2 linked regions of the Arabidopsis thaliana genome follow. The protein of the gene in region 1 interacts with the protein of each later gene in a biochemical or structural test. Each region holds a gene or a part of one and is shown on either strand. Other genes may lie near its edges. The genes, in order: PIP2E and TSPO.

The links.
Region 2: the proteins of PIP2E (region 1) and TSPO form a complex in vitro, tested with the Arabidopsis thaliana proteins (one study listed by BioGRID).

Annotation. Positions count from the first base shown.
Region 1 is NC_003071.7:16,289,459-16,294,665, reverse strand, and holds PIP2E (plasma membrane intrinsic protein 2E), read right to left. Parts: upstream 3,387-5,207; 5' UTR 3,103-3,386; coding exon 2,799-3,102; intron 2,294-2,798; coding exon 1,998-2,293; coding exon of another isoform or gene 1,926-1,997; exon of another isoform or gene 1,359-1,925; intron 1,268-1,358; coding exon 1,127-1,267; intron 1,049-1,126; coding exon 920-1,048; 3' UTR 565-919; downstream 1-564. UniProt on the Arabidopsis thaliana protein: Aquaporins facilitate the transport of water and small neutral solutes across cell membranes.
Region 2 is NC_003071.7:19,566,501-19,570,293, reverse strand, and holds TSPO (TSPO(outer membrane tryptophan-rich sensory protein)-like protein), read right to left. Parts: upstream 1,831-3,793; 5' UTR 1,594-1,830; coding exon 1,003-1,593; 3' UTR 787-1,002; downstream 1-786. Other genes in the region: AT2G47780 (Rubber elongation factor protein (REF)), read right to left, coding at 1-218; ALG3 (asparagine-linked glycosylation 3), read left to right, coding at 2,073-2,238, 2,338-2,372, 2,450-2,587, 2,694-2,762, 2,940-3,097, 3,166-3,232, 3,328-3,381, 3,571-3,659 and 1 more. UniProt on the Arabidopsis thaliana protein: Stress-induced membrane protein that can bind heme and may play a role in the transport of tetrapyrrole intermediates during salt stress and contribute to the detoxification of highly reactive porphyrins in the cytoplasm.

The sequences.
Region 1 (5,207 bases):
TTACTAGTGTAAACAATGTTGCATTTATTGCCGATTATCTACCTATTCTCAAGAATCATGCTAGACTCTACCCTCTCTCTTAGTATCCATACAAGATGTGTCAGACTGATGCTAAATCTGGTAATTCTATGTTTCACACCTGTGGATATTGGTTGGGTTTCTACTTCTGATTGTTGGTGTCATGTTCATTATGCGGTTGAAAAAATATAGAAAATAGAGGAAGGTGCCATATAAGTTGTGAGATGTTAAGATCTCACTAGATGGCAATACCAAAGAAATAGAGGAAAGTAAGAGGAACAAGATAGTAAAGAAATCTGAGGGGAACCAGATAAAAGAGAAAAGTGAGAGGATTTGGTTTTTCTCCTATACATAGCTAAACATGTGTCGTGAATCATTTATTTTTATTTCAACATTTTATCCATGGCGTTATCATTTCAACATTTTTTATTTGTTTGTTTGAGACGATTACAAATGTTTGTGCCCTTTATTTTTCAGTGATTGATAGGATGCACCGTTGATGGAAAAGACCCAAAGGATCTTTAGCATGAAATTTTAAGATTGTGATCGACATTGACATTCCTGAGAATTTAGGAACAATAGTAGTTTATGGTTTTGGAGTTTGTGTTTTTTTCTATGAAATTTAAGTTATAATGATGATTGATCAAAGATAGAATCATCAATAAGTAGATATATAAATATCATATGCATCAAATAACACATACATTGCTTGTACGTTACAAATTGTTACACACAAACCTCCCCCACAAAGCCACAAATAAGACACAGTAAATGTCACTCACCGACCATCTTAAATAATATTCGTTTTTTCTTTTATATGATTTGGGTCCCTTTTTTTTTTCCTTCCTCCCTTCCTGGCCCAAAGAATTCTTCACCTCTTCGCTAGTTCGAAATAACAAATTTAAGCATGGAGCTCATGAAGCTGGCTCCTGACTGACCCATAGGCCTTCATTGCACCAGCTCTCAACACAAACTGATGGTAAAATGCTGCAATGGCTGCACCCACAAATGGACCGACCCAGAAGATCCACTGTAGTTATTAAAACAAAACTCATTAATATGTTAATTTAAAACCCAAGAACGAATATCAGATGGTGAAAATACAAACCTGATCATCCCAAGCCTTTTGATTGTTGTAGATGACGGCAGCTCCAAAACTCCTAGCCGGGTTTATTCCGGTGCCAGTAATTGGAATTGTGGCTAAATGAACCATGAACACGGAAAATCCAATTGGCAATGGTGCTAATACCTACAATTCAATAATTTCATACAAAATAAATCAACTTACGTCATTAACAATCAATGACATAGACATTTAAATTTGAATGAATCATAGGTACCAAGATTACTAGAATGGGAAAAAGAATCAATTAATGACCATGTGCATAACAGAAAGATTTGTTTTGTAACGAATCATATATATTTGCAAGGACAAATATCATGGAAAATGTATGTACACATACACATGGGTCGTTGTGGAAATGCAAAATATGGACCATTTACATACAGAGACATGTGATGAAGAGACGTGGAGCACAAATATGGTATGTCGTTATAACGTGTAAATAGACATTTGGTACCAAAGAAACGAACAAGAAATGAGTGAAAAATAATTGGACACCCTTTCGTCGTTTATCTCATAGAAGAAGATAGACGTTACACTTGGTCCGTATTATTTTCGTTAGGGCCAAAATGGCTAGACGACATCGTTTTCAGTATTAAATAAATGCGTTATATAGCTGGCACTAGATTTTGATTCTGTACGAAAAATTGTCGACAACGAAATCAAAAAATCTATCCTAATATTTCTTCCATTATTTATTTCTGTAATTACCACGAGTACTACATTTTGTTAAAAATAAATGAAACGAAAGAAAACTATCAATTTTATGTACTACTATAAGTCTTTAGCTAGGTTTTTGATACTTTTTAATGTTATTCATGTGATTGAGGCTTGTAGGATAGTTAAAATTGCTTACAGGAATGTGAGAGTCACGGGCATTTCGCTTAGGGTCGGTAGCGGAGAAGACGGTGTAGACGAGGACAAAAGTGCCGATAATCTCAGCACCAACCCCAACGCCAACATTGTATCCGTCGGAGAGCATGTTGGCTCCACCACCGTAGCGGTTGTAATAAGTCGACTGGAAGACTTTCACCAAACCAACTCCACAAGTGGCTCCGAGACACTGAGCCACCATGTACGACACAGCTCTAACCAATGATACCTTGCTAGCTAGGAATAGCCCAAACGTCACCGCGGGATTGATGTGTCCACCTATACAAATATATATGATAAGTACGTATAATTTCATAAAACCAGCTGATCCAGATGAGATAGATAATTTTTTTTTTTTTTTTTTGGTGTTTTCACATGATTAATTGTTTTTTGCAAAACTTCGATTTAGTAATTCAAATAGTTAAATTATTGAAATCCGAAATGAAACATTAATTTTATATAAAAACTAACCTTGGTTTGAAAACAAAAAAAATCTTAGAACATACATTATTTGGAATTTTAATTTGGATGGAATTTAATGTTCTAGAAAGCTAAGTTTTCTTACCACATATGTATACTGGCCAACATTGTGTATCATCAATCATTTAACTACTATAGTTTGGTTGATTTGGTATTTTTGAAATTCTGCTTCTTTGTTACGAGGACATGTATAGGAGCCTCGAATGATGAAGCATGTGCATTTTGCTATGCAAATCAGATAATGCAAAAAATGGTTAAGGAAAGAGAGAGAGAGAGAGAGAGAGAGAGAGAGAGAGAGAGAGACCAGAGATGCCGGCAGTGCAGTAGACGAGGATGAATATCATGCCACCAAAGGCCCAAGAGATGCCTAGGAGGCCGACACTGGCACAAGCTCCGCCGCCGGCGTTGATATCAGTCTGGCTCTTAAAGCCGATGACTGTCAAAACAGTCACGTATAGAAAGAGCAAAGTAGCTATGAACTCAGCGATGACAGCTCTGTAGAAGGACCACTTCTTGAGCTCTCTCACCTCGAACGTCTTCACAGGCGGTGGGTCTAAGTAGTCCTTGCCGGAGAGCGACTCTTCCTCCGTCAACTCATCCTTCGTCATTCTTTCAGACTTAGCCTTCACGGACTCAAAAAAGAAAGAGAGAGAGAGAAGAGAGAAAGTGAGAGACTGTTAGAAGATGTGGGTGATGTGCAGAGATGGTGAGTGGGTCTATTTATGGAAAGCTGTGGCTTTAGGTTTTTCCTCTTTTGCAATGAGGTTAATTAATTTATCTTCTTCTTTTTTATTTATTAAAAAGTTCGTAAAATAAGGGAACACTACAGGTGTTTATGATTGTGATTAGTCTATGAAGACTCTATTGATGTCTAAAGAATATGCTTTCAATTGATTTTGATTTGGTTATTTTGCAACAATTTTGTTGGGGGGAAAAATCACTAATTCCTCTCGCCTTTTTTTGCTGGTATTTTCCTATTAAGTTATTTTACCCACGAACAAACAAGCTAGTTTACAAAATTACAATGGGCAAACATTTCATGTAGACTACTTGATACGAGGCTTTGTGTTGTGCGCAATATCCTCATAGCCGGAGCTAAACCTTTAAAGAGAAATTTTAAAATATAAATTTTGGGTTTTTAATTTTTCTTTCTAACCAAGTAACTTTAATACCCGAATATGTTTAGGTTTAGTATAACTGTCAACCATTATTTATTTTTTTCCTCATATCACCATAATTACAGAAAAATGATAGAATGGTTGTATTCATGTAATTAGCGTAGATTCTTAGATTTCAGTTCTTAAAAGACCAAAAAAAATGCAAAATAACAGACACTGATAGATGTTGCAAAGTAATGAAAAAGACTACTTAAAATGAAAGAGTCGTCGCTCATACATTTAACGCAGAAAATATAAGAGTAATTTAAAATGCAAATTGGACCGACCTTTAGTCGAAAAGTTTAACGCAGAAAAATAAAAGTAATTTAAATGCTATTACAAATTGAAACAAAGAATCAGATTATTTGACGAGCAACAGTATATACAAATGACATGACAGTGAAATGGGGCGAATGTATCTGAAAGCTCTCCTAATCAAGGAGTCAACAATCACCTATTTAAGAATGTACGTTGTCTAATACTTGAAATTTTACGTTTTTGTTTTTCTTTTCAAATTTAAAACTCTTGCCGTATTTAAAGATACTGGTCATTAAGGTGGCCATGGAACTAAACACAGCCTGAAAGAAAATTTTCAAAGATTTTCCCAACCCCAATAGGAGAGCTTGCGATGGGATTGAATTTACCACGATTATTATATTTTCTGAAAAAAACCTTTTATTCCCAACATTTGAAATGTTTCATATGTGGAGCAAGAATTACGATATGAAGAATGGAGAATGAGAAACCATATAATTTAATAAATATTAACATGAATATCATCCACTTTTATTAACACAGGATCAAATGACTGTTTTTTTGGGAAGACGATCGACCTCCATGAACCATGAACATTAAATCTTGTCCACGTGGTGTCCGTGGTAGACCCATCTAATTTACGTAGCTAGGCCCGTCCATGGCAGAGTAGGATTGGACACCAAGATAAATACAAGAATATATTTGAAGCGAAGCATTTGGCGGATTATAGAGTTCTACAAGACTACAACAGATGATGCATCACTTAATAATACCAAAAAAAAAAACAAATGTCCCACTTAATAATCGAGCGACGACCATTATTTTTTTCTGTAAATAAAATGAAAATGAATTGCTTCATGAATTATATTACTCATTTTTCCTAGAGATGGGACCGTTCATAAAAAGTATTACGGATATACTGATAGCAAAACATTTTTTTTTTTTCTACGCAATTTTGTAATTTACAACTTATCTAAACACATTCGGATTCATTGTAATATTAATTCTATGTATACAATTCATCTTCATCCATATTTTTATAACATCTTCTTGTTTTGAATTTTTATTTTTTACATGAGTCACATGACTATAAGTCAATAATATCATTTTGCTGCTAATACGTGCTGTAATTAAAAAAGAAGAAGCAAAAAGACTCAAATTGTTACTATAAACAAGAATGTTTAAAACACGTGAAAAAATTGGTATAGGGCTGCTTAAAAGTAAAAAACAATTGCGTGAAATACAAAGGCTTCATTTAAGGTTCTCCATTCTTTGTTCCGACAACTTTATTGTTCATAACA
Region 2 (3,793 bases), 3.3 Mb from region 1:
TTGAGTGGACCAGCGTTGTCTTTAGCCAACTCGTAGAGGGTCGAGAAACAGGCGGCGAAGTAAACCGCCGCGACTTGAATGAATTCCAAGTGCTTGAGCTTCATCTCATCGTCGTCTTCCACCACTAACGAAGGCGAAGACGAAGAAGATGGTGGAACTGGAGTAATCTCCTGTGGCTGTGATTGCTCTTCTTCGACTACTATTTCATCTTCAGCCATTGTCAAAGACTTGGTGCCGTTGCAGACAAACGAACCGCTCTCTCTCTCTTTAAAAAGACTTATATCACACCGGACGGCTCAGATTTGAAACTGGTGAGCCACGTGGCATGTTGCTGCCATGCTCCATTTTAGTTTTAATTTAAGCGAAAGGGATTGGATTGTGAGAGACGAGTGACCTCTAGGACAGCTGTCCTATTGACAGATGTCTTACTCTTAATGGACCGTTTTCAACACGTGTCGAGGTATGGGTCGAGACTGTTGCACGAAAGCCACGGCCACTCCGTCGGCACGAGTCTCGAGGGTAAATCAAAAAAGCACAAGGACCTCTCGTTCGCTATCATTCATCCACTTTTTGTATATTCCCTCCAAACCTTACATGATATCATCACGTGTTAAAATGGATTGGGCCCTAATCCTCGAGTTCCTATATTAATTTTAGGTTTACCACTGACTGAGAAGCCCACAAAACAGTGTCAACGGCCCAACCCAAAACTGATCAAAGTATAGTTGGCTTTACCGTTTGAATTTGTTCCGTTTCGGCGACATAAAAGTAAAACGATCGCCTTTTAAGAATCTCACAGTTTGATTTCAGACCAACGCTTAAAACTTCTACAATATCACATTATTTCTCAAGTATATCATGTTCATGTCTATTACTCCACAATGACCAGACCATTGGATCGCAAAGACATCTTTTATGGTATATATCACAAAAAACAAAAACAACAAGAAACACTCATATGACTCAGACTCTACAAACATCATCGTATAGCGTTTACAGATCTCACGCGACTGCAAGCTTTACATTAACAGCGGCTACAAAGGCAGCCCAAGCCAAACACGGCTTTACCAGATTACCAGCGACCGGACTTATCTCATTAAAGGCCTTGTAGCATCCGAATAACGCAGCCGATTGACCCAACCACACCGCAAGCCCCGCTACTCCCGACCCGACGCGGAACGTAACCGGATCCCAAACCAAACAGAGCAAAAACTGAGCTAAGTAAAGATACAGAGCATTGGGCTTCTTGTGGAAGCCACCGTCAACCCATACAAGCCACGCAGCCAAACCCATCAGACCACTAGAAGCGAGACACGTTGTGTGTAGGAGCCACAGAGGTGGGATCCACGACGAGGACTTAGCTCGATTCCCGTATCCGTCGCTTGTGCCGAGGAAATACGTAGCGAAGAGCGTCACGAGCACAGGAGCCGCAACCGCTACCGTCAGAGACTTGAGACCACGTTTCGCCATCGCCCTCTTTTGATCGCGTTTTCCTTTGTTGTCGTCAGCGCTTTTCCTCTCTGTCTCGGCCATAGCCGTCGTTGCAGCGTCTCTGTCGTCTCCGCCGCGGTATCTGATGTCCTGAGAATCCATTACAAACGTCCAAAACAGAATCGAAGGAACAAGATTACTGAGATTTGAGATGTTGGATAGATGGAGAAGAAGCAGCTTGGTCAAAAGAGAGTATAATCAGGAGATGATATTAATAGACAAGAAGAAGAAGCAAAAAGGCCAAGGCTCTTGTACACGTGGCGAGTGATATGTACACGTCGAATGCTAATTAATTGTTTTTTGTTTTTAGATAACTTTGTGAAAAAGTGTGGACACGTGCTTACTCTATATGCTCATGTCTGATGCATACACACAGTTTTGGGACGATTGCGATGCTTATTTATTTATCGCTTAATACTTTTGCATTATTAAAAAATAAAACAACAATTGGGCTCTACACCGACTAAGACAAGAAGCCCAATAGGCTCATTTAATTTGGGCTAATTAGAAGAGTAGTAATATGGAAGTAGTTGTCTGTTACGCGGCGTTGGCTAGACGCTGATGCGATTTGCTCTGTTTTCATGGCGGGCGCCTCATCACCGGCGAGTTTGAGAGCTTCTCGTAGCCGTCGGCTGGGGAAGGAGACGAATCGATCCGATCTATTCAAAAAACCTGCAGTTCCATTCGCATTCGCGCTAATTCTTGCTGATGCAATCCTAGTCGCACTTATTATCGCCTATGTTCCATGTGAGAGCTATTTACCTCCTTTTTTTTTTTGCTTGCGTATCCCTCGAAATGTGCATTTGCATAGGTTTTAAACCAAATTTCGTCATTTGCCTTTAACAGACACGAAGATCGATTGGGATGCTTACATGTCACAGGTAAGTGTCAATGGTCAACTGTGGTTTCTTCAAAGTAAACTAGTAGTCTTTAAGTGAAATTTATCTAATTGGGGCAGGTTAGTGGGTTTCTCGGGGGAGAGAGAGACTATGGGAACTTGAAAGGCGATACAGGGCCATTGGTTTATCCAGCAGGTTTCCTCTATGTTTACTCTGCAGTGCAGAACTTAACTGGAGGGGAAGTCTACCCTGCTCAGGTGCTTGCAATTCCCTCTCTTTGAATCTCCTATCTTTGGATTAGCTGCGGAATTTGATCCATCCATCGCTTCATTTGTCTCAATTCTACTCTCTTACATTTTGCAGATTCTTTTTGGTGTTCTCTACATTGTCAATCTGGGGATCGTCTTGATCATCTACGTGAAGACTGATGTGGTATAAATGAAGACTTATTTCTTATCTCTTTTCATCAAGTATTTGTAGACGTTGTCAAGCGTTGTCCATTTACGATGTTAATGAACAATATTTTGGTTTTGATTTGTCTGTTTATGATGGGAGTGATTTTAGTGAATTCAGTGATGATATCTCTTCTTGTATCCTTACGTATTTCAGGTGCCATGGTGGGCATTAAGTCTACTATGTTTATCCAAGAGGATACATTCAATCTTTGTTCTCCGTCTCTTTAATGATTGTTTTGCCATGACTCTCCTACATGCATCAATGGCTCTCTTTCTCTATCGTAAATGGCATCTAGGGATGCTTGTTTTCAGGTTAGATTGCTGCTTTTGCTTCTCGATTCTTTAGATTGACTAGTCTGCTTACCCTTCTTTTTATACAGTGGAGCTGTTTCTGTAAAGATGAATGTACTTTTGTATGCTCCAACTTTGTTACTTCTGCTACTTAAGGTATATATGTTCGTGGAAGAGAATTAGTTTATGGATTTGCTTTATTATTCTTCTAGCATTGTTTTTCTTCATATGTGAAGTTTTACTATTCACAGGCCATGAATATCATTGGAGTGGTGTCTGCTTTGGCTGGTGCAGCTCTTGTTCAGGTTTCACTATATCTCTTATAAGCCTTCTTATTCACCAATTTGTATGCGTAGCATTGTTTCTCCAAGACAATTTGGAAACTTGTTAACTGTAGTTTCTTCAATGTAAATAGGTGAGTTGCATTATCCAGCGAATTATAGTTTTGATTATGCAAGAAGTACCATTCAGCTGGTCAATGAATGGTTATACAGATACTCGTGGGACTGCCGTTTCTGATAACATATCCGGTTTCATACATAGCAAACGCCTTTGATCTTGGACGTGTTTTCATTCATTTCTGGTATTGTTCGCTTCTCTCCCGCCAAATCTAAAAAACATGTTGATGGGATCTAAAAATGTCTTTTGACCTCTAACTCTAGTTTGAGCTCTCAACAGGTCTGTTAACTTCAAATTTGTTCCAGAACGAGTTTTTGT